2 linked regions of the Danio rerio genome follow. Each later gene encodes a partner of the first gene's protein in a complex. Links are inferred from orthologs where the notes say so. Each region holds a gene or a part of one and is shown on either strand. Other genes may lie near its edges. The genes, in order: cnot10 and cnot6l.

Region 1 (13,285 bases):
GCAATAGCATCAGAAATCCTGTCCAGCGAGATCAGGGCTTCAGCAGCATATAGGTGACCCAGGAACCTGAGACACACAGACACACAACCACAACTCATTAAAAATTGATTATAGATCAGCTGAATACATTGTTTAAAGCCATTTCTTAAGACAAAGACTAAAGCTAAACTGACTGCTTTATGCGCACTGACTTCAAGCGTTAGTTTAAGCTTCATCTGTGCCTGGGAAATCGAACCAATACAAACAAACAATACTTGTACATGGACAACACTAATTTTAGTATATTAAGATGATTAAGAAGAAAAAGATGTGAAGAAGGTCGAAATTAAATCGATTAATCGCGATTCTGAATCGAATCCTAAAAGTTCAGAATCGATTCTGTATTTAAATTGGATTGCAAAGAAAATAATTAAGTGCTCTGACAGACATGTATGTATTCTGCTGAATTCGCTTATTTTTGGACAAACTTAAACTCAGCATGAACCGGAAACTGAGACTATTTTTAGTTTTTTTTTTTTTTTGTTCTGTGATAAAGAAATTGCTAAATTAAATGAGAAGACGGTGGGTGTGGCTTGTTTTTTCTACTGCGTGCTCATTGGATGTAGAAAAGTAGGCATTTAATTAAGAAAACTTTGGGAAAAGGGTTTGGGGAAAGTCATTACAACCTAACAGACACCCCCTGCTCACCATTTCTGTTGTCAAAACTGACAGTTGGAGGGGCGTGGTTAAGTATGTTAGCCACGCCCAATGCCTCAGACAGACGTAATCTGAGACTTTATCTAAAAACAAACATATAGTGTCTTCAATTTCGGATTACAAGGGCATTTTTTTTTTCTTAATGACATGCACAGATGAATTGTTCACCACAAGCCTAGCAATGTGAGCTCACAAAATCAATATGGTTAGTTTTGATTTCATGTGTACTTTAAGGTTGTTGAACATGTGCTTTATTCACTGTATAATTTAAACATTCTGATTAAAGAGCCACGAATAAATATCTCACTTAGATTTTCCGTTTGATTGCATTAAATAACAGAAGTGTCAATTTAAAAATGCACAGATCTACAATGAAAGCATTACTTTCCTAACTGTAAATAGCAAATGTGCCATGGCTCGACGCAACTAACTCTTAAAAGGGAAAAGGAGATAAGACTCTGATTGGTCTATTCTCAAAACACATCCAGAACTCATTAGAGAATAAGCACAACCCTGTTAGACCATGGGCCAAGTGGGTTTTTCCATCCTTAAAATAGCAAAAGTGGATTCAGACACTCCCTTAATGCTTTTGCATCCTGAGCTTTAGATTCTGTACCTATTAAAATAGAGCCCTAAATGTTTCAAAGTAACGACACAATATTTCACGTGTACCATATAGTGTCATAAATTTCCTACTTCATTGTTTCTTAAGCATGTGTAGTTGTCAAGCATGTCCTTAGTAATCTTTTTTTCCAATACTTTGCATGCATTTAAACATATTTTCTGTCTATTTCTAAATATGTTTGGTGACTAAAATATTATTTGAATAAATATATCTGTTTAACTAAATGCGTTTTGTTCAAATGCACCAAAATATATGACCTATATTCCCTGAGAAATGGAATGAATACTCATTTTCGGGTTGAGCCCCTGATGTATTGTCAAAAGCCCCTGATCTTTTGGAATATGTTGCACTTAAAAAAAAAAATAGGTTGAATAACATTTATTTTGTTATCCAAGTACTTAAAATTACCACATACATTACATGCATTGCACTTAATGCAGTTTTTCTGTCGGGTACTTGTTTCTACCGTCAGGTAGGAGTGGGACTGTTGTCGCAAGTCAAATGTTAAAAAAATCCCACCATCATTCATTCATTATTTTGAGAAGCTGAAGATGATGAGGTAATAATACAACTGATTCTCTGAATAGTTTTAACTACTGGTGAAGCTTAACGTTTGTTTTCACAAAAAAAGCGTTTAGTGATTTTAGTTCATCCCAAACACTGACCCCACCAAAAAAAAAAACACAAAATTGTGAAAATGAAGTGGTCAGGCAAGGTGGGACCTTTTGTTTGACTGGTTGAACCACATAGCAAACGCCATGTCGCTCAGGGTTGTCTGTTTTAGGAGGGCAAATATTTGCTGAATGTTGTGAGAGCAGGACCCATAAAAGAGGTAAATCAGCCAGAAATGGAGAGACGGACTCACTTGAGCGATCCTGACAGTTTTGCCTGATGCAAGAGCTTTTCTGCGTGGTTAAGAGCCATTAAGTTGTCCCCAAGAGCAAGTGCCACATACGCACTGCAGGCTAGAATGGAGCACCTTTGAAGAGAGAAGCAAGCAGATTAAACCATTTACAACCAACAAAATAATTTCACAGAATTTAAAGTGACTTTTCACAGTTCTTTCTGGTAAAGAGAGTTATACCAGAGTAACCAGAGTATATACAGGAATCAGAGAGTAAAATACCTTTTGCGACCTCTTTTAAGATTCTTCCCATACATTTTAAGACCTTATAACCACTTTAGGTTTTAAGCGGAAACACTGGCGAGATTTTAGCTTTCATATTTACTAAATATTATGTAAGAGACTAATACAAAACTAAACATTATTCATATACTGAAAAGAAATCTAATTAATCTAGCTAATACAGCAGGTTGGCGCATATAAAACTGCAGAAATAATGGTGTTGACTTTATTACTGCAGTAAACAAAGCAGCATGATGTCAAATCTAGTAGGATTTCATAAACTACGCAGCATCCTGATATTCGAAGATTTAATTCAGGCGAACTTTAGCATACAACCATACATTGCATAATTGAAAATGATATAAAATGTAATACTTTGCAAAATAGCATTTAAGACTTTAAAACTTTTAGGGCCTTAAATTTCTCTACATTGGTTTATTAACTTTTATTACTTTTTAAGACCCCGCGGACACCCTGTATACACTCTGCAAAGTTCAGTGTTGGACAATTTCAACAAATCCAACCACAAGAATTGCCAGCTGCCTCGAAAATCGAATTTAAGGAAGGTTATTTTTTTTTTTTTGCAAAACATCCACAATATGGTAATTACAGGAATTAATACACATAGGCAAAAAAGCTAATATCAGTTTATGTACATAAAATTCAGTGATTGCCTCACAGCACGAAGGTCGCTAGTTCGAGTCCCGGCTAGGCCAGTTGGCATTTTTTTGTGAAGTTTGCATGTACACCCTGGTTTCCTCCGGGTGCCCCCATTTCCATTCCCATGTCATAAAGCGTGAATCATCTCAGACAGGTTTCTTAAACATGACAATGAGTTCACTGTACTCAAATGGCCTCCACAGTCACCAGATCTCAATCCAATAGAGCACCTTTGGGACATGGTGGAACAGGAGATTCGCTTCATGGAAATGCAGCCGACAAATCTGCAGCAACTGCGTGATGCTTTCATGTCAATATGGAGCAAAATAGTACCTTGTTGAATCTATGCCACGAAGGATTAAGGCAGTTCTGAAGGCAAAAGGGGGTCCAACCCGGTAGTAGTATGGTGTACGTTATAAAGTGGCCGGTGAGTCAAAATGATTGGCTTTCTTGTGAATTTTGTTTCTTTTACAAACATAACCCAAATTAAGTTTTACAGAGCAAGATTTATTTCACAGTAAGTCTGATAATATTTTTTCTTCTGGAGAAAGGCTTATTTGTTTTATTTTGTCTAAAATAAAAGCAGTTTTTAATTTTTGAAAAACATTTTAAAAAATCAAACCATCGCTATAGAATAACTTGCCTAATTAACCTAGTTAAGCCTTTAAATGTCACTTTAAGCTGAATACGAGCATCTTTAAATATATCTAGTAAAATATTATTTACAGTCATCTTCACAAAGATAAAATAAATCAGTTATTAGAGATGAGTAATTAAAATAATCATATTTAGAAATGTGTTGAAAAAAAAACTTAACTTAAGTAAAAATTGGAGAAAAAATATACAAGGAGCTAATATTTCAGAAAGGATTCATATATATATTTATTTTACATTTTAACAACTGTAATATTGTTCAAAATAATCTGGTTTTTCAATGTCCCTGCAGGTGAATCTAGATGAATTTAGATGTTTTATATATTAACAGACAGTAGTAAATGCACATGAACTTGTGTGTGCATCAAGGTGAAGTTGAACATGATAGGCTAATTTCCTAAATGCTCAACTTTGTTGCTGATGCTCCGTAAGAGGGTATGAGTAGGTAAAGAATAGAGTGCAAAACAGAGAAATACTCAGTGCTCTGAGCGGCTGCCTGTGACACAATAGGTTTCCAGGAAGAGCCCTTTGAGTAAATGCTGCCAGGGGCTCGTAAAAGTGTCAGTGTATCAGGGTGTCAGTGCAGGGTCAACACAATCCACACTCCACACCCCTTCCCTTCACAGGGACCTACATCCGGCCAGCCCTCTGGAGCAGACCGTCCCCCTGTATCAAAGATGAGGGGGAAGGGGACCGAGAGCAGGATGGAGGTGGGGTGGAAAGTCTAATCAATTCTCAAGGCAAAAAAAAAAGCAGATTGCAAGGGTGAACAGTGAAGTGTGTGTGTGTACAATAAGAAAGAGAGGTGCATTGTGAGCTAGTCAAGGAAACAAAACCTGTTGTCAGAGGAAACTAACAGAGTAAAAATAATGGAGGTTAATTGCTTTACTGAAGTTACCAAATTGAAAAAAAAAAACACTGAAAATTTTAAATGCGCTTTTTATTCTCTTAAAAAAAGAGAATTTAGCTTTCTGTGCTGACAAGTGCCCTCTTGAGGACTGCTTTTTATATAAAACACAAAAATGCTTTGCTTGCTCAGTATTTTTGCCTGGTTTTACAATATAAATATCAAACATTACTTAACAATGTTAATGTAAATATGAATCAAAAGCACTGTAAATATGAGCCTAAATTAAGTGAGAAAAAGATAAAAATGTCTGGCTGAGATTTGCTCTTCAGGGTTTGGACTTTCAGCAAAAAAACAACTCTGAAAACTGGACTGGCGCATTTTACTAGAACTTCTCTGTTAATTGTAACTTCTATGTTATGTTGCTGACAATATACATTGTAAAAGCGCTACAGAAATAAAATTGAATTGAATAATTGTGATTTACAGAAAAATGGATAGCTAATTAAAAAAAAGTTATAAATATAAATTATCTAAATATAAATTACATATATATATATATATATATATATATATATATATATATATATATATATATATATATATATATATATATATATATATATATATATACACGGGGCTTTACATTAACACCCGCCAAATGCGGGTAGATATTGGTTGAGGCGGGTTGGACAGCCACTCCCACTAGCCACTTTGGCTGGCTAAAACTAATTTTTAAATTGCCAGTGCTGGCTCGTCGTCACTACAGAATACACTGTTAGTTTATGTCCATTTGTCTATTTGTGTACAAATGTGATCTTAGAATCGAGAAGCAGCACGACTGACAAAACAGCTTTTCACACAAGCAAAAGAAAGCAGGTGAATGAGAGGATCACGCACATGGTGAGACAGGCTTTTCACACTCACTGACGAGGGCTCTAGTGTTGTGCGCACAGGTGATTTGATGCGCGCCACTGTTTAATAGCTCCTGTGCAGTTTCCTCAGTCGAAGCAACTATGCCTGAAAATGAAACTAGTCCGATGCTTGTGCACCCACAGTCCTTCAAGAGCTCGAGATTTTTTGTAAGCAGCAGTTGTTGTCGCTTTTGCTTTAACCATTCTTTGTACAGATTATTAATTGGCCAACCAATAACCGTGTGCGCGGCATGATCTTTTCATTATTGCGCACAGAATGTTTTTACCAGCTTTCTTTTGCTTGCTGTTATTTTTGTTAATATAGTTTAATAATCATCCTTTACAATAATATTGCTTTAATATGTTGTTGTATGCATAGTTAACAGAACAGACTGTTGTGACTATCCTTGTTCAATGTTTCAAATTTGTCACATCTTGGATCTGCTGAGGCGTTTAGACGCTTCCTTTGCAAATAAAACATAGAACATCAAGTCTTAATTTGTTGCTGTTTATTGCAGAGGTAGTTGAACAAAAAACTGATATGAAATAAACAAAATCAAACGAATTTGGCCATCAAACACTGAAGGTAAGGTCTAAAGACCATGTGCTCCCAGCAGGCCCTTCTCCAGTAGGCCACACCCAGGCCTATGCACAACTGTGCATAGTTTTAGATGCGTGAGAATATATATATTTTTAAATGTCAGCTGTTTTGTTGAATAAAAAGTGTATGTATACAGCAGTGTTTTGCTTGTTTTGACACATTATTTAAAATTTGTGGCAAGGAAATAATTAGTTTGGTGTGGCCAGAGAAAAAAAAAGTAAATCCGTATTGTGTTGAGCACTGAAAAGTCCTGTGAAAGAAAACTAATTTCAATGCGACACTTTTTTATGAAAGCATAACTCATTTGCTCATGCTCATTGAGTAAGCTTACAAAGAAAAAAAGTTAAATGAATGAGGAGGCAAGTGGAAACAACACAAAATCTAAATGAAGTCATTTTAGCACGCCGCAACTCATGCCAAAGTCAAATTTATGCATATAAAATATATTATAATGCATATGCATATGCATAATATATCCAACTACAAAATTGTGGCCAGTGAAAATGGCGAGTGGCTGGTAACGGTGGAAAACTACTAGCCACAGTGGCAAGCCATGTATGTATGTATGTATGTAGACAGATATATTTATATATGTGTGTGCGTGTGTGTAAATTATGTGAAACTAAGCTTAAAACAAGAAATAAAAATATCTAAATTAGGCTTAATAATTTTCAAAGGGGAAAGTATATTTTAAACCCTTCATATGACATATTTTATGGAATATTTTGGGAAATTATACTGGAAAAATAAGCAAATTTCTTTTAGCAGTGACATACATAATTTATCAAACAATTGGTGGAGCTAAATCAAATGCGTTTAAAAGAGACCATTTTACCTCAGGCCTTTTTTATAGCAAGTCCATATAAAGTCTCCTGTAAGCTCACCTGAGATTCTCCACTTCCTGCTTTCTCAAGGGCGATGAGGGGGCAGCAGGAATGAACTTGTCCCCTTCCTGGGTTTTCCCACTGTCAGGCAAATAAAAAAAAAAATGATGGTGAAAAGAATGTATCTGACAAGTTCTTCATTGTGTTCAGTCAATTCAGGTTACTTCATGATCAGTTATTTTCAGTGCTTATGTTGCATGGATGTACAGGTACCTGCAGGCGTCGCTGGTCTCGCTGCCGCTTTCTGTGCCGCCTGACTGACTGTAGCTCTTGGAGCCGTTGTCTGGTTTGCTGTCGTGCTGTTGATGCTCTGGCAGCAGGAGTAAAGCATTCCGCAAACAGATTGCTGCAAATTCCATACTGGCCACTGGGATAGCTGCCGACTGCGCCTCGCTGCACACAAACACAAGCAGATGGGTCCATTGGTTTCAGGATGGTTAATGGATCAGAATTGTTTCTACTGATCTTTGATAAAGTAAGAAGCTTTAAAAGAGTAAAGTTTACCTAAAATTAAAGTCTCACCCTCAAATAATTCAAAACCACTACAAGTTGTGCTTTTCTTCTCAAAACAAATTAAGATATTTTGAAGAATGTTGGACAGTCACATTATGGCAAAAAAATACTATGGAAGTCAATGGATACTGGTTACTTACATTCTTTGAAAATTTACATTTTCTTCAAAATCATTAAAAGTTTTGTTTTTTCTCAATAAGAAATAAGATATTTTGAAGAATGTTGGATAGCCACACAGTAAGGCAAAAAAATACCATGGAAGTTAATGGATACTGGTTTCTTACATTATTTAAAAATATATATTTTCTTCAAAGTCATTAGTTGTATTTTTCTTCTCAATACGAAATAAGATATTTTGAGGAATGTTTGGACAGCCAAGTAAAATAAAAATAAAAATATGAGAGTCAATGAATACTGGTTTCTAACATTCTTAAAAAATAAATTCTTGTGTACAACAAAGAAAGAAAGAAAGTCATGAGGGTTTGAAAAGCGAGTAAATGAGGACAGAATAAGTAATTAAATACATAAAAACCACTAACCATCGACTTTCATAGTATTTGTGCTTTTCCTTCAATGGAAGTCAATGGATACTAGTTTCTTACATTCTTGAAAAAAATTTAAAAAAAAAAAAAAAAAAAATATATATATATATATATATATATATATATATATATATATATATATATATATATATATATATATATATATATATAAATTATTTTCTTCAAATCCATTAGACATTTTATTTTCTTCTCAATACAAAATAAGATAATTAGAAGAATGTTGGATAGGCACATTATGGCAAAAAATATACTATGGAAGTCAATGGATACTGGTTACTTGCGGTCTTTAAAAATATATATTTTCTTCAAATTCATTACAAGTTTTGTTTTTTCTCAATACAAAATAATATATTTGAAGAATGTTGGAGAGCCACATTATGGCAAAAAAAGTCAACGAATACTGGTTACTTACATTCTTAAACACATATATTTTCTTGCATTCAACAGAGAATGAAAGTCATGCGGCTTTGAATCGCGAGTAAATGAGGACAGAATAAGTAATTAAGCAAATAAAAACCTGTAACCATCGACTTTCATAGTGTGTTTTTTTCTCCTTCAATGGAAGTCAATGAATACTGGTTTCTTAAATTCATTAAAATATATACATTTTCTTCAAAATCATTAGTTTAATAATTTAATAATTAATAATTCTGATTTCAATGGTATATTATAGTAATATTATAGTAATAATATATTACAGTAATTATAATATATGAATAAATAATAGCTTTCATTTGATGAAAAAGCAAATATGTATTAATATTGTGCTTAAATAGGAAACTATTTGGTACAATAAATTATTATGAAACTTACACAATTGCAATTTCAAGTTGTTTCAAGTACTTTATCCAAAAATTAAAGTATCAAAGTACTTTTCAAACCTTTACAACACTAGATTAAAATTCAAGCATATTCAATGTATGCCTTGTTCAAAGAGTACCCATACAAACCCATTACATAAAAGTTTTGGAACAATAAAGGCTGAGTAAAAGGCCAACTATCCCTTTAATGTCTTTGAATGTTATTTGTTCTGAGAGAGAAAAGAATAAGTGCAAAAGGATGACATCTTCTGGTGAAACCCTGTCACTACAGTGCATCATACAGTGCATGAATTGGAAATCGCATCCCTCCAATCAGGCAGACACAATCTCAAGCAGCTACATTTTGTAACTCCATTAATAATTAGCAAAATCATGGTTCATTAGTCCAAAATTATTAATACCTGTAGATGGTGTTTTGTGTGGACTGTGATGCTAGAACAATCTTGCGATGGTAGCCCTGCCCAACAACCGCCTGCACGATGCCCTTTTTACTGGGTAAACCTTTTGTTTCCTGCTCCGAACTCTAAGAGGAAACAAATGAAGGAAAGGTTATTAAAATAAATATGAATGTCAAATATATTTCAAAATCATCAATATACTACAAAAAGGTGTTTCCAACTTTAACAAATCTGGTCATACCAAAATAATTTTAAAAACATGCAAATGGTTTTAAGCATTTGACGTGAACAGACTTTAAATACGACAAAAGAAGTATGTTTCAATTTCTATTTCATTCAATTTCTTTTCTGCTTAATCCCTTTATTAATCAGGGCTTGCCACAGCGAAATGAACCACCAATTTCTATTTGATATGTTTATATTTCTGTTTCAAAGTTCAAAGTTTTATTTTAAGTTCAAAATAACAATATTTAAATAATAAAAATTAGTAAACACTAAAAAAAGTTGTTATTTTATAGATTTAAAAAAAAAATAGTTCAGCTAAAAATTATTATTTACTCACTATTTACTCACCCTAAAGAGTTTACAAACTTTTATAAGTTTGAAACAAAAGATATTCTGAAGAAAGCAGAAAACCTGTAACCATTGACTTCCATAGAATGAAAAAAAGTACTATGAAAGTCAATCGTTACAGGTTTTTATTCATTCTTTAAAGGATCTTCATTTGTGTTTAACAGAAGAAAGAAACTGAAACAAGTAAAGAGTGAGTAAATAATGATTGAATTTTAATTTTTAAGTGAAATATCCCTTTAATGACACTTTTCTAGGTATAACTATTACCCCCAAACTTTTGAATGGAAGTGTACTATTTAGAGGTTGGGGGAGTCTTTCATGTAAAAACAAAAACAAAAAACAGATGTGGGTTAATGTCTGTACCCCTTTATTAGCTGTGATGCAGCACTCTGCCAGTCTTAGCCAGAGTCGAGGGTTGGAGTGATACACCTGTACAGCCTCCATCAGACACTCAAACGCTGCCAGCGGTCGGCCAATATGGAGTAGCTGAATCCCGCAGTTATACAGCAGCTCATAGCGCTTATTCGCTAACAGAGCACACATGGGGATACCACTGAACTTCTTAGATGCTATGGGGGAGGAAAAAACAATGTTAAATACGAGGCTGGGAGAATATGCAATATTTCTTACAATACTAACTTGAAAAAAAAATTATTTATGGTATGATCATACTAAAATAAGCAGGTAATTAATATTTTTTTCTGAGCTAATTGAATAATACAAGGTATTTATTTTATTTAATGCCATGTCAGCAACCCAGGCCATTTTCATGGCAAGAACATTTCAATAATAAATGTACAATTAAAAACAACAAAAAATGCATTCTTTTTAAAGTTTTTGTAGAATTTCTTTGTAAAACTATTTGATTTATTTATTATTTTTATTTTATTTATTATAATTTTTTTATTCATCTTTTGAAGTCTACCAGGGGGATGGGCGGTAGTGGGTTTTAAACAAACAAAAAACAAACGAGCACATAAATTAAATAAGATTTTAATATAGGATAAAAATTCTAAAGTGTGTCACTTTGTTAAAAATGGTAAAAGTACCGTAATTAATACATAGACTAAGAAAAATCTGAAAATATAGCGTAAGACCAATTTATTTGAATAAATTACCAAACCAAAACATTTTTGAATGCTATTTCATCTTTATTTTTTTAAGTATGCCATAAAATATTTCATATTTTCATTTAACATGTTGCTGTTTTGTTATTTTTTTTACAATAAAAGCAAAATCAAGTTTAGTAGTGCAATGGGATTATGTTTGTTTATTATTTTTGTGAATCAACAACGCTGTGTAGTGTAAACTACTATTTAAAATGGTCATTTTTAAATGACTTTAACAGTCATTATTGAAAACAGTCAAAACATGGTCAACCATTTGGTGGAGCAGGCAATTAAAGGCTTAAAATGTTTTATTTTTTATTTATTTTTTTAAGTAAAACTGCTTTTATTCTAGTCGAAATAAAACAAATAAGACTTTCTCCAGAAGAAAAAAATATTATAGGAAATACTGTGAAAATTTCCTTGCTGTTAATCATCATTTTGGAAATTAATAAAAAAATAAATAAATAAATAAATAAATGTAAAATTTTTTTTACTTTAACAGTCAAGGTTTAAAACTTAAAGACTTTAAAAATGACTGAAAACTTTAGCGGAAATAAACAACCCATGTATACAGCACACAAATGCTTGGCACAAAAATATATTTAATTGTAAGTGATGTATTACATATACTATTATCACAGTATTGATATTTTTTCAATATATCCTACGCCTGTAATGTTAACTAACAAACTTGCAAGATATCCATAAATCACAATTTGTCCTCAAGTCCTGATCATCTTACCCTGCGCATTACTGCCGTCGCCAATCTGGGCGCATGTGTGGTCATTTTCTTGAAGTGCTTTTTTAAAGTAAAACAGACCAAGGTTGTGCTTCCCCATGGCAAAATGGATACAGCCCAGGTTATTCCAAAACATACACCTCACACATTCACCTTTGGAAAGTGGAGAAAAAAAAGCACAAGCACAAACATCAGAGAGAGAGAGAAGTTTTAACTGGAATTTTTTTTTTAATAAGCAAGCTATGTTACTAAGAATTTATGCAAATTGTATTTATTGTAAATTGTATTTATTAAGATGTATGCTAGATATCACGTTATGGAACATATTTACATTTTTACATATATAAAGACAATAAGAATCTGTTTTAGTTGTTCCCTCTGTTTAGCTTAAAGAGATTGACAGTAACTTTAAAGGTGCTGTATGCAAGTCTTTGAATCTTGTAAAGCATAAAAATACCATGATATGTTTGCAGATATTTAAGAAACATCCTAAGTGAACATTCTTTTTTATCTGAAAAACATTGCTTAAGTCAGATATTCTGCTATGAAAATGTGTGTAACGTGCTGGAACAGTGTCTTTGTTTTGGTTCTTTTAACCCGAAACACGACAGAAATTTAAATACAGCAATTCAGAAGCACAGAATTGTGCACTTACTGCACTCCGTCAAAAATGTACTCCAACGAAAGTTAATTTTCAAATGATTAATTTTATTTCCAAGATCTGAGGTGAACTATCTGCTGCTGCTTTCAGTATATAGCAATAAATGTCAGGTAAAAAAGCATTTAACACTGAATACAGCACATGATGTGTACCTGAGGTAATAATTTTAAGTTTTCTGTTGTTCAGATGCAAGAAATAGAAGCGGTTTCTAATATATCAATTGGAGGTGTTGGTTAGAACAAAAACTCCTTTTAATATGGAAAATATTCCTTCCTTCCTGCCGTTGCTTTTATATAGAACACGATTGAAATCAGCCTTTAGGCTCGACAGTCAGACTCCTGTTGGTCTCCAATCTGGCAACCTGCGCTTGCATTTGTTTTGATCCAGAAATGCAATTCCTAGTTCGGCAACTGGGTGTCGACGTTACATATTGCACCTTTAAGCATTCTGTATTAGATGATTTATAGAATTTAACATTTATTTTTAAGGTGCAGAATTGAGGTGTAAAATTAAAATTAGAAATTAAATTAAATTCACTGTGTTTTCTGCAAAGACAACCAGAGGTGCTGAAGTATAATTGGCTAAACTGGCAGTGTGCTGGTTATATAAACCAAAACGAAGACAGACATTCCAACACAGATCAAAGATCTTCAAATAAGAACAGCTGATTTTAGCATTCTTTTTTCAGATAAACAAATATGTTTACTAGCTATTTTTCTTAAACATCTGCAAACGTGTTATTTTCATGTTTTAAAAGTGTCAAAAATGTGCCTACAGCAACTTTAACTGCTTTTCATTTTTAGTATACTTTTTTATTCTTTTCTTTGCTGTTGCAATGTTTGCCATTATCATTAAACCATATGATTAAAGGATCTTACACAGAATGCTGGTCTTCATATAT
Region 2 (13,285 bases), on another chromosome or scaffold:
CATGATGGACTGTTTTAGTGCAGGTGTAAGTGCATGACACTGGAAGCCTTTTGCACGTTTGAGCTACAAACCCAATCTGACATTAAAAATAAGGTGGATACATTAGTATGATGATGTAATTTAGATGTCATTGCAAGACGAAAGTGAAAGCAGCAAAGGTACACAGCTGTGTTATAATCAGTAGGGCTGGGATCCTCTTTAATAGTGTCAATTACTGACTTAAGTACAAGTTTCGCATAATTCTTCACATTGCACTATTGAGAATTTTCAATTAAAAATAGATTGCTAAAAAATCCGACCTCACCACATGTTTCACTTCATGATCTCAATGCAAATCCATCAATGAATAGGGGAACTTAAATTTGTAATGAACAGGATACAGTAACTGTAATATTTGAAGTTGCATATGGGGTTTTACTGTAATTGCTTTAATTTTAAAATGTTTGATATGTCAAAAGGGAATTTAAAAGCGGATGCTGATCGAAACGTCATAATACTAGTGCTCACATTGTTATGCTAAATGATCTGTCTTCTCATAAGATACACATTTCTACCATCAATACACACGGTTAGTACAATCTCACATTTAGATTTAGACAAACAGATCGATTTCCCTGAAAGCAGTGTTCGTTTGGTACCAAACAGAGAATCCCAACCCTAATTTGGTATTAAGCTTTTGTTTTCAAATTGGAAAACATAATAATAATAATAATAATAATGATACAATCATGTGCAAAGGCTTAAAAAAGCAAGAAAGTAGGTGAGCACTTCACTCCTTAATGTGTGCGCCTATACTTTTTGGGGCTTATGATGGGGGTCTGTCCATGGTGTGGGGTTTTGGGAGAGGAAGGAAGGGGTCTGCACTACCTGTGGACAGGCAGATGCAGCCCGTTGAGGGGGGGTAAAGGCGGATGGTACTCCAGCTGAGCCAGGAGGGAGAAGTGGTCGGAGGGGATGTGAGGGTGAGGGCAGCCGGTTATGTTGTTGTCCTTCAGCCATTGTGTCTCCAATGGACCCAGAACACCCAGAACGCTCATGTGTGTCTTTGAGAAGAAGATGTAGTCAATCACACCCTACAGAAAATGTAAAAAGGGTAAAGATATCAAAATGTTGCATCCTTTCAGATTAAGTAAATTCAACCCTCTACTGCAGCAATTGTGTATTGCACAGTGCCTATAGAAAATCATCATACCCCTCTGAAATAATGACTTTATTTGTCATACAATCTGAAATCAAATCACATTCTAAATAACTTTTCCAGCCTTTTGAAGTGTTTGTGTAGCCTTCTCCTAACCTGTGCTTTTTTTTTTTTTACAACTTTATCCCGAAGGTCTTTTGAAAACAGGGTGAAATGTGAGTAATAGGGATGCACTGATCAGGATTTTTGCAGCCATTATCGAGTAGTTGAGATCGGCCGTTACTGAGTACAGATTCTGATGCTTCAAGCTTTAAAATGCATTAAGCACATTTTCCTTCTAAGTAAGATAATTAAGTGGAGTTTTCTCTTTACCTAAGAGCATAAATTAAGGATGCTGCATATAATCCTTAAACAAGTCTCTTTTAGGTGTGAACATGTCATAGTTAAAAGCAGCATTACAGAAAATAATAGACAGCACAGATAAAGAAAAAAAAACATGGTAAGAAAAATGATTAACAATACGTTTTGGAAACACTGCAAAGGAAGGAAGAAGAATTAATAATAATGATAATTCCTTACATTTATATAGTGCTTTTCAAGACACTCAGGGCTCTATTTTGACGGTCCATGCACAGAGCGCAAAACGCAGGGCGCAAACGCTTTCAGGGCTTGTCAGGACGCGTTTTTGCTAATTTAAGGATGGAAAATCTGCCTTGCGCCACGGCGCATGGTCTAAAAGGGTTGAGTTTATTTTCTTAATGAGTTATAGGTGTGTTCTGAGAATAAACCAATTAGAGTCTCATCTCCCATTCCCTTTAAGAGTCAGCTGCGTCACGCCAAGAGCGCATTCGCTATTTACAGGACGCAAAGTAAGTCTAAGTGGAAAAAATGAGCATTTCACAAGCAAACAGCTAACAGTTGACAGTTTTTTTTTAACAGAAAACTGTTAAACAGAGCATCTACTGCGTGAGAATGAGAGATAATGGAACTACTTTCACGTTCGCTCTTGGATAGGGAAACTTTACGCACAGACATCAATTAGCCTATAAATAAATACTTTTGTTTGTTAAGGCCCAATATTCATTTCAAAACTATTTCTAAATTCAGTTCTAATTTCCAGCAAACGAATAAATGAATAATAATAACAAAATGTTATATCCTAAAACACATGCTGTGCCCCATATGGTCTAAAACCTGACAGGTGGGCAAATCTAAGCTTGTTTTTAATAAAACAAATATAAATATGGATATATTAAATAACACTGCTAATAATAATAACATTATACAAAAGCAAATTGTTATGAATGAACTGAAAAAGCCTCCCGAGATGAAGAAGACATAAAAGCAGTGATCTTTCATATTTATGTAGGCTAGAAAATAATGTTTTGTAATATTTTAATCCTTTATATTTATACTCTATATCTATCCTTATTATATCCTATATATATCCTTAATATTTACATTTTTTCATATGTAAAGATAATTGCCTATTGCTCTCTTGTGCGTATTAAGCAGTGCGTAAGCACTGAGTTTAGACCGGGTTAGTGATGAAGCCAATTATGATATGGGGATGGTTATAAGGCCATGATGGACAGAGGCCAGTGGGCCAAATTTGGACAGGTTGCCGGGGTTAAACCCCTACTCTTTTTTTCGAAGGGCATCATGGGATTTTTAACGATCACAGAGAGTCAGGATCTCAGCTTAACATCTCATACGAAAGACAGCGCTCATTGAGCAGTATAGAGCCACCATCACTATACTGGGGTATTAGGACCCACACAAAGCACAGGTTGGGTGCCCCATGCTGGCCTCACCAACACCACTTCAGGCAGCAATCTAGCTTTCCCATGTGGTCTCCCATCCACGTACTGACTGGGCACAGCCCTGCTTAGCTTCAGTGGGCGACCATGTGTGCGTTGCAGAAAGCAAGCTGCTGGCAATTCAATATATCTCAATCAAGAAAAAGGTTTGGAGAGCATATTTGATGAACAAGAAGTTAAAAAGCACACCTATAAATCTAATACTTCTTAACTAAAAGTAAATAGGTCTATAAACTACTGTTTATTGCAAAAAGTAAATTACAAGAAGTTATATTATTAAATATTCATGTTAAAATGTGCTCATCTCCAGCTAACACAAATACTTGGGATCGGGTCATGAAATCTGTAAGTACAGATCGGGTCATTAAATAATAATAATACGTTTTATTTAAAGGTGCCTTTCTGGCAACTCAAGGACACTGTACAATAAAACAAGAGAAATAGAACAAGAGAAATAATATAAAAACATACACAGCAATAGTGCAGATACAATTAAGTATTAAAAGCCATCTTAACTAAGTGGGTTTGAGTCTTGATTTGAATAGTGTGAGGCAGTCAATATTTCTGATGGCAGGTGGTAGTGAGTTCCAAAGCCGGGGAGTAGAGCGGCTGATTGCTCTATTGCCCATGGACGATAGACGAACAGAGGGAACAGACAAATGGAGGGAGGAAGAAGATTGCAGGGTGCAAGACGGAACAGAAATGTGGGCAGACAAATATGGAGGGGCGAGATTATGGATGGCTTTGAATGTTAACAGCAAAATGTTAAAAATTAAAAAAAAAAAAAAAAACAATTTGAAAATGAACTGGTAACCAGCGAAGCTGCTGCAGGACAGGGGTGATGTGATGAGAAGAAGGGGTTCTGGTGATGATACGTGCAGCTGAGTTCTGGACCAACTGAAGCTTATGGAGGGATTTGTGAGTGACACCAAAGAGAAGGGAGTTGCAGTTATCTAAATGAGATGTGTTAAGGCTATGGACGAGAACAGCAGTGGCATGGGGGATAAGATAAGGGCGGAGTCGGTTAATATTGAGTAGGTGGAAGTAAGCAGACTGGGTGATGTTATTGATGTGAGAATCAAAAGATGGGGTGCTATCAAGAATGACACCCAGACTCTTAACCTGTTTAAAAATGTGATTATTAGCCGATACCGATCCCCGGCGATTAGAGCATCCCTAGTGAGTAAAGAATTAGATTTTCACAGGGTGTGATGATTTTCTATAGACACTGTATGATTAAATAATTCTACACAATTTTTGGTTAATTTCATTATTTTTTAGCGCAACCCTTAGCCCAAAATATTTTGGTACTGAATCATGGAGAAGATTATTGCTGCAATTATTAATAAACACCCATAAAACAAAGCTAAGAGCGAATCTTATTGATCAAAAATGGAAAGCACTTGAAACTCATTGATGTATTGAATCTGGTACAGGACTTGCATTATATAGTGTCTCATCTCATTTGCTCTACTTCATGTAATTACGCAATGAGTTTTCATTTCATGGGAAATTGGAAATCCCACCACTAGTTTGCCACCTCTTCTGCTTTGAACATAAATTGTGCACTAACATGTATAACAATATGTGATAATCTCTAAGCACAATATTAGCAAAAATATCGTTAGAATAAAAAAAACTTGTAAAAATAAAACTTAAGTTGATGAAAATTATAAGAAAATTAGAATTTCTAAACATTCAAAATAAAATAAAATCATAATAAAACCTAATAAAATGTATTTTTACACCGGCATGCATATATTTATGCATTGACCATGTCTTTTTAAACAGGATTACTACAGCAGATATCTTGCCTTTTAATCACATCAAGCACTCCTTGGGCCACGGGTGCAAAGAATATTCCACCTTCAAATGGTGCATGATAGTGACCCTCAAATCCTATTTGACTTTTTCTTTATTGCTATTAACCATTCCAATTGGTTGCAATGATTTATGAAAACATGCACTGAAAATTGACATTTCTGTTGCCAAGTGAAATGTTGTGCAGTAAAGGATTAATTCATTTAAATGTGTAACAAATGCAATTTTTAAAACTCAACAACAGTTGTCACTTTTAAGGTATGTACTAATGACCGTTTTTTTGCCATGTGTCAACAAAGTGTAACAAAAGAAAAAACAAACTTTCCCTGATTTTCTAGATTGTCAAAGAAAGCACATTCTGATTTTTATGTGAATGATTCAGGATGTTGCCAAGAAAACCAAAAGGACGTGACATTTACACACGCTCACTCTTTTCCATTCTGACACATTAAACGAATGCTTATTTGTTCAAGAGAATTCCGTCAGAGCTATTATTTGTACTTAAATGTCACTGTGTCATGCAAAAAAAGATATTTCTTCAAACTTTAATTTTGAATTAATTATTGAATAAATTATAAATTGTAAATAGTCTCAAATATAGGTCACTTTAAAATCTATTTAAAAGTCTTTTTAGGCCTCTTATATTATGCCTCTTTTTACAATTTTTGGTGTTCCTAAAATGTGTCTGTGAAGTTTCAGCTTAAAATACCTGTCAGACCATTTGAAAATGTCAGTTTTTGGGTCAGAGCTGTTTGGTGTCTTTGGCTTTAACTGCAAATAAGCAGTTTCTCCTGTAATGAAAGTAGAATGCAGGGTTTGGGCATGTCTGCCTAGCGACACGAAACTGATACTGATTCTGATGAAGCAGAGACCTAGTCACAAATACCAAAACTAGAACTGAATCAGAAAGTTTTTGAATGTTTTCAGAAGTTTTTTGATGTACTTTATAATTATTTGATGTGGCCTTTTTTGCAACGATAAATGGGCCACATACTGTACAAATGCACACACTTTTCTTTACAAAAAACATTTTAGAAGCTCCAAGAACATTATTGTGTGCCATAAAACTGTAAAAAATACTTTTGTTTGCCTTTGCTCATTCGTTCTTTGTTCTGTTTCACATCAGTTCAGGGTGTGCACTTGCTACAGGCAGTCTGATATATTGTCATTTTAGTCAGCAGAGCAACACAATAACATTTTATTGGTCATATTAAATGCAAACACTAATCTAAAATGGAAAACACTGATAAAAAGCAAGTTGTTTTTACTCTTTTTTTTTTTTGTGCGAATAAAGGTGTTATTGGAACTGTGCATGATTTTAGTTTAACCACTGAAGTCACATGGAATATTTTGACAGCATTTTGGGGTCTTTTTCTGGACTTTGAATGCCTGACTACGGCTGTCTGTGGAGGATGAAGGAAGCTCATTTGTGTTCAGAAGATGAGTGAAGGTCTCAGGCTATTGACACTTATTAATATTAGAAATTAAATTTTGGGTGTCACGGTGGCGCAGTGGGTAGCACGATCGCCTCACAGCAAGAAGGTTGTTGGTTTGAGCACCAGCTGGGTCACTTTGCAACTCTGTGTGAAGCTTGCATGTTCGCCCAGTGTTCGCGTGAGTTTCCTCCGGGTGCTCCAGTTTCCCCCACAGTCCATAGACATGCGCATTAGGTCAACTGAACAAGCTAAATCGGCTGTAGTGTGTGTGAGTGTGAAACAGTGTGTATGGGTGTTTCCCTGTGTTAGGTTGCAGCTAGAAGGTCATCCACTGTGTAAAACATATGCTAGATAAGTTGGCGGTTCATTCGGCTGTGGCGACCCCTGATTATGAAAGGGACTAAGCCAAAAAGAAAATGAATGAATTAAAAATCTAACCCTTTAAGTCTGAATGAGTGGAAAGTGAAGTAATAAGGGTTTCTGAAATCAATATTCCTTAGACACATGCTAGTGTAATTCACAGGGTGAAGTAAGTTGAATTTTTAAATCAGAAGATTTTTTTTAACTTTGCATATAATGTATGCACAATCTGCATATGCACTTGACTGTTTTGAGCCACTTAGATTGTCAATGAGGTGTTAAACTGAACCAGAACATTGATTTACAGCCGGAAAAGAAACAGAGATGACTAAACTAGACTAGAAACACATATAACTATAAGATTAAAATATATAACTCTATTTTAAATTAGCACAACTCTAGTTTTATCCCTTGAAGTCCACGTGAAATCGAAATTTACAATGTATATTTTGTTAGCACACATTCTTATTCTTTAGGTGAACAATAAATCTGTGCAAGATAATCGACTAAAACAATTTTGTTTTGGTAATCTTCAAAGTCTAAACATTTGCTTCCACATTTAAAGTGGCATTCATTTTTTGTTGATTGTAGCTATTGATAACCAAACCCCTATTACCGTTAGTTTACGAAGAGAGAATAATGAGTAAAAAGAAAACCCTGACCCCTACTCAACAATCCATCTTAGTCGGAAGTACAGTGACTTCCTGAAATAGAAGTCTTAGCAACTTCTGGTTCACTCTGACTTAAAACTTTTAAAAAGCAGATACTGGACAAGGATTAATCTTTCTAATGTGCACGGGTTTCCTCATGCAAGCATGTAACATGCCAACACCCTATTTTAATTCATTATTATAACAAAGGCAGTCACACTTTAATAACAAATGACACCCACAAGACAATCCACCAATCAACACATCTCAAAATAATTAGCTAAATGAGTTGGCTTTTGAATCAGACACCATCACTGAATCATTACTTATTCTCCTGGTCATGAACCGACAGTCATTTTTTGATTATGTCATTTCAATATTAACAAATGTAAATTTATTATCATGTATATACAGTGCATCATGTGAGACCTACATCATCATATTTACCAACAAGATAATCATATGATCATAAATGATTCATCTTCGCAGCAAAGCTTTGTTGAAACAAATAAAAGAACAAAAATGGCGATGTAAAGAAAGCAAGCATGAAAATCCTAAATCTCATGTTGAAACAGATGGCTCCCATAATATTTTGATTGAGATTCATTTTGATTCTGAAAAAAAAATCTCCTCACCTTGAAGTCATAAGTGTAGTTGGTGTAGGGCATGAGATTCCCCTCATAGGCACTCTTCAGCTGGAAACTGTGTGTGATACTGCCATCAGGCTTGCCGTTTTTGCCATTGCAGCTGAAGTTAGTTAAACAGTCGCTGTAGCGCAGTTCTTTAAAGTCTTTGTGATTTTCTGCAACTCCGCCATTGCTCAGATACTCCACCACACCTGCAAGAAAGAGGTCAGGAAAACGAGTGATTCTGAGACAAGAGCTTCTAATCTGAAGCAAAAAATAAAATTGGCTGTTTTTTGACATTCAAAAGATAGTTCACCCCCAAATTAACATTACAAAGCTATAGGTAGTTTTCTGCAACATATTTATAACATGTATGACATGTTATTTTCTATTTTTTTAATTTAATGGAAGTCAAAAATTTGGTTATCAACATTCTTTAAAAAATCTTCTTTTATATTCTTGCAGAAGAAGGAAACTTCAAAAATTTAAACATGTCAGTAAGATTTTTGGGTGAATTATTACTTTAATTTGGTAGCAGGCGAATTCAGTAAGCTTTGTTTATTTGATCCAATTGTAAGGAACAAAAAGGCTAATCAACAGCCACCCACTCTGTAAGTGCAATTTTATGGCTTGCTGAAATATATTAATGTCTTAGATTAGTCTTAACAAAAACTGTAAACAGTAAAGAGACAAATTTACTAACAGCTTGCTTCAATGCTAACTGTCTTTTTAGTTTTACCAAACACACACAGCAGAGAGAAATATCTCTGAAAAGGCACTGACACAGTTACTTTTTTTTAAAATATACATTTGTAAGAGTTTCCCAATTAGACACAAAATTTATAGGATGAAAGTGTTTAAATGTATAGCGCATTGCAATTTAACAACATTTGTGCTTCTCACATTAGATATTTGCGTCATTATTTAATGACTAAAAATATAAATATCACACTTGAAATGGCTACAGTTGTTGTTACCAGGAGAAGACAATACAGGGAACACAGAGCGCATGGTATAAGACTTTTTTTACCCCACACATATTTATTTTGGAATGCCAAAGGAATACAATCGCTCAAATATACTGTTTGCCAAATATGCTATTTTGAATTTGTTTTAAGAAATAAGAGACTACTGGGAAGTAACATCTGAGTCACACAATACCAGCATGATCATGGTTCCCTAAGACAATGTGCAATGTGTTCTCTTTGTGCCTGAAAAGCATGCATCAGATATACTGTAGCTAGTTGTAAGTAAAAATAAAAAGTGCCTTGTGGTCACTCACATTCCTGTCTATTTTGTGAGCATGTCCATTCTTTGACCAGTAAATTTTTTTAGTAAATATTTGGCACAAGGAAATTTGCCACTATTCTAATTTGCACTGTCAATATGTAAATGAGATGTTATATCTTTGTTCTCTAATTGTAGATTCAGTGCTGTTTTGCAATAATGCTCTTGCGTAAAATTGCCCTACTTGGTAAATCTGGCCCAAACATTCCAATTTATTTTCAACATGCACCTTTTAAATATGACTTACCAGAATCTGGGAGGGAGTTGAGATCAGCACACAGGACGATAGGGATAGAGCTTGTTTCTGATGTGGGTGAAGAAGAGTTGATAGATCCCGAGGCCCTCTCAGCGATGCTCTTGAGCTCAGACAGGAACATCATAGTCTGGATGAGCTTCACATCCGAGTATTCTGGATCCCAGTGCATGTGGGCGTTAGCTACAAGCAGGAGCTGTTTCTCTGGAGGTGGCTTTAAGCCTGCAGTACAGTGCCAGGAAAGAAAATGGGATGAGAATATTCTAATAAATAGTATTAAGATATATATACTAGGAGTTGTTGAAATCTTGAATTTGATTGGCTGACGAACAATCTAAGTCTGGGCTTCTCAAAGTTTGGACTCTTTTCGATTTTATATTCAAGAGCACTCTTATGTGTAAGTGAACGAAAGTGTGAATTTCATAGACCTCTGAGCTTTTGGCCACTCCAGAAGCACTTCAAAATGAATGACCATACCCAGAACTAGCGCTTGACATTAATCAAGAATTACACCCTATTTTTTTTTCAAATAGTTTTTTTAAGTAATAAATAACCTTTCTTTTGTTTGTTTGTTTGTTTGTTATTTATTTTTGTTGTTTTGTGTTTTCTCTACTCAGTGCACTTGGATGGTATCTCTTACCAATGTAATATATTTAAATATTGAATATTTTTTTTCTTACTTTATTTGACCTTTGCCACTGAGTGTCTCAACTGTTTTGCTTTTATAAATTGATATTGTATTTTAAAACCAATAAACAAATAATAATAATAATAATAATAATACAGAAAGTGTGCATTTACTTCTTTAATAAACACGTGCTAAACATGTAATCTTGTTTTTTGGCGATGGTCTATAGTGAAAGCGAACTGATGTGGCGCTGTTTTTCAATGTATGATGTTTACCGTAATTGAGAGACACTCTTCAACACAGTGAGCGTTTGAATGGTAAGAATGCCAGTTTCCAGAAAAGAAAAGTCAACAAAAAAACTTTGAGTTTTTAAAGACGATTCATTGGACAGAGAGGTATGCATTGATTTTGCTCCAATCCAGCACAAAACTGTTCTCTTTAATTAGAAATGAGATATTTAAACTTATGAAGAGTGAAAATGTCAAACGGCACTATGAAAGGTTTAGCAGCAGCTGGAATACAGGCAGAGTTATGTCTCACACAGCATTGTATTTTGCACCATGCTACTTTTGAGCTATACCTCAGGTTGTGTTTTGTTCATAAAAATTGCTGACAATTAAATTAAGTTTCAGTTCTCATCTTGCCACTTTTGCACTTGCTATAATAGTATATTTAAATGCAGACTTTTAAAAGGTTAATTAATGTATATGCATGTTTATTTAAAACATGTTCTGTGCTAACAATGTTTTACAGACATTTTTGTCATCTATGAAAATTCAGATTCGGGACTTTGAGAACCCCTGCTCTAAGGTGTGCTCTAAGGTCTTTGGGCAATCCACAGCTACAGTTCCAGGCTGGTTTTGAAAGCATCCTAGTTCCAAATCACTATGGTAGAAAACCTGATGTCTTGAAATACCGAATGAAGCAGAATGAGTTCTGTAATTTTGTAATATTTGAATAAGATTTTTTATTATTAAGGTCATTGCTCCTAATTCTGAGGAAGGCAAGAGCTGAAATTGAAAACAGGAAACTCCCGTTTTCAAAAAGCAATCAATATTGCAATCTTTTGATTACACAAAATATTGTATATTTATTCCACAGAAAAATAGATGAATATGCTGAAAAAGATTAAATAAAGCAGAACTAGGGAGTTATCTGAACAACTGCTGACAATTGAACACATTTAAAGACCTGAAGGCAGTTCAAAAGTTGAAATACATCCAATCAACCAAAAGTATGCAAACTGAAGAATTGTTTACTTGGGTATAATAGAAATTTAAGCTGTTATCACTAAAATCCAACCTACAGCACTGAATTCAGCTTTGTACTTTTATGTTTATGTTTGACTTTTTGACAGCCATAAAAGTGATTTCCTTTGATTTACAGCTGTCTTTAAAAAATGGCTACGGATGAGTTTTTATTTGAAGAGCAATTACTTGAAGACATCGTTCAAGCAAAAATCTAAATTTAATCAAAATGTACTCACCATATACTTGTTCCAAACCTGTTTAATTTTTTATACTTATAATATAGTTAGAATAATGTTGGAAACCAGTAGCCATGGATTTCCATAGCGTTTTATTTTACTATACTACAGATGTCAGATGTTATATTATACTCAAGTGGCTACTAGTTTCCAAGTCTTCAATTTATATTCTTTTGTGTTCAACAAACAAACAAACAAAAAAAAAATCATAAAGCTTTGGATTCACCCAAGGATAAGTAAATGCTAAAGAAATGTAACTTTTTGTGGAAACCATCCCTTCAACTTGATACACATAAGTAGAAATAAATACTATTTATTAGATACATTGCATGTGTGCAAATGCTACAAAATGTTTAATCATTTGTTGACTCCAAATAAATTCTACTATGTTTTAATGCACTGTGTTGCTTTTTGTGATCTTAAATTCATTTTCAGGGACAATAGTTATTGCTGTCATCCCATGTAAACAGTTTAAACTTTGTGATCTGCTTCCACCTACAGGCTAAACATCAGCATTCAGCAGCCTGTGGTGGACATTCAACCCGACCAACATCCAAAGCTGAAATACATTATTGTACATATTTAAATACCATTTTGTCCTAAATTAAGCTTAAAGTCATTTTGGTGTGGACATGACTAACAAATAGAAACGTGATAAAATGTGCCGTGGTGGCCATGTACCATTTTATTAATCAAAGAATACCATTCTTTCCTTGGCCTCTAGTTTAAGTGTTAGGAAAATTGCTCAGTCTATTTTATGTGCATGTTTTCATCTGAAAGTTCATTTTTAGAGTCCTCATCTGTAAGGGGGCTATGAGATGTGTCCTGCTAGATGTTAAACAGACATTTATAAACTAAATAAAAAGAATATTATAATATTTAAATAAATAGTAATTTTTCTTTTTCGAGCAAAAGCATAATTTATTGTGTTCTTACAGCCTTTTTAAATGTTTATTTATGACAAGTTCAACAACATTGCTCAAAATATTTTAGGCCAACTAGTCTACCCAATGTTGGCTAGAGCATAATCATTTCTTAATTTCTGCAGGAATTTTACCAGGAGTTCACTTTATGCAGCATTTAGATTAGGCTATAATTTTTTGTTAGGTTAAATTTGCTTTTCATTCACTGCTAAATTTTAAAGTGAAAAAATTACTGCCTTTATTGTCAGGTATTTACAGTAGCCTATTCAAAATGAAAAATAAAAAATAAATAAAACATATAGCCTCATAAGCCTACTTTGTAGGTGAAAATTAGCCTATGTTACAATAAATAAATAAAATAAATATATATATATATATATATATTGCCCATAATCAATTATAATAATAATATTGATACAAATATGTAAACAAAATATAAATATGTAGACAAATGTTACGCAAAAAACAATCATTTAATGAATTTACTGAATTGAGGTATGAATTCAAATATTTTATTCTGTGCATTTTGTTATTTTAGCATTTATTAATGCTTCATTCCAATGTTGTCTGAGTGACATCACACTATGTATTGTAAGCTTTATCGGACATTATGCATATACATCCTAAAAAAAGTCTTCTTTTATCATTCTTGATTCTAAATTAGATATATGTTTATTAATACTATCTATTTGCTATAGTTACTTTATGAGGTTTGGAACTAGAATTCACTATTATGAAACATCTGAATAAGATCTTTCATTATTAAGGTCACTGCTCCTAATTCTGAGTAAAGCAAAAGCTGAGTTTAAAAACAGGAACTCAATCTATATCGCAATCTTTTTGATGACACAAAAAAT

What was found.
Region 2: cnot10 (region 1) and cnot6l share a complex: the UniProt entries of both Homo sapiens proteins name them as parts of the CCR4-NOT complex. The link is inferred for Danio rerio from reciprocal best matches to the Homo sapiens genes CNOT10 and CNOT6L.

Annotation. Positions count from the first base shown.
Region 1 is NC_133191.1:8,046,122-8,059,406, reverse strand, and holds part of cnot10 (CCR4-NOT transcription complex subunit 10), read right to left. Parts: intron 11,877-13,285; coding exon 11,727-11,876; intron 10,445-11,726; coding exon 10,239-10,444; intron 9,428-10,238; coding exon 9,306-9,427; intron 7,401-9,305; coding exon 7,221-7,400; intron 7,089-7,220; coding exon 7,008-7,088; intron 2,301-7,007; coding exon 2,187-2,300; intron 67-2,186; coding exon 1-66. UniProt on the Homo sapiens protein: Component of the CCR4-NOT complex which is one of the major cellular mRNA deadenylases and is linked to various cellular processes including bulk mRNA degradation, miRNA-mediated repression, translational repression during translational initiation and general transcription regulation.
Region 2 is NC_133180.1:39,699,963-39,713,247, forward strand, and holds part of cnot6l (CCR4-NOT transcription complex subunit 6-like), read right to left. Parts: intron 9,614-13,285; coding exon 9,386-9,613; intron 8,064-9,385; coding exon 7,861-8,063; intron 1,074-7,860; coding exon 868-1,073; intron 1-867. UniProt on the Homo sapiens protein: Has 3'-5' poly(A) exoribonuclease activity for synthetic poly(A) RNA substrate.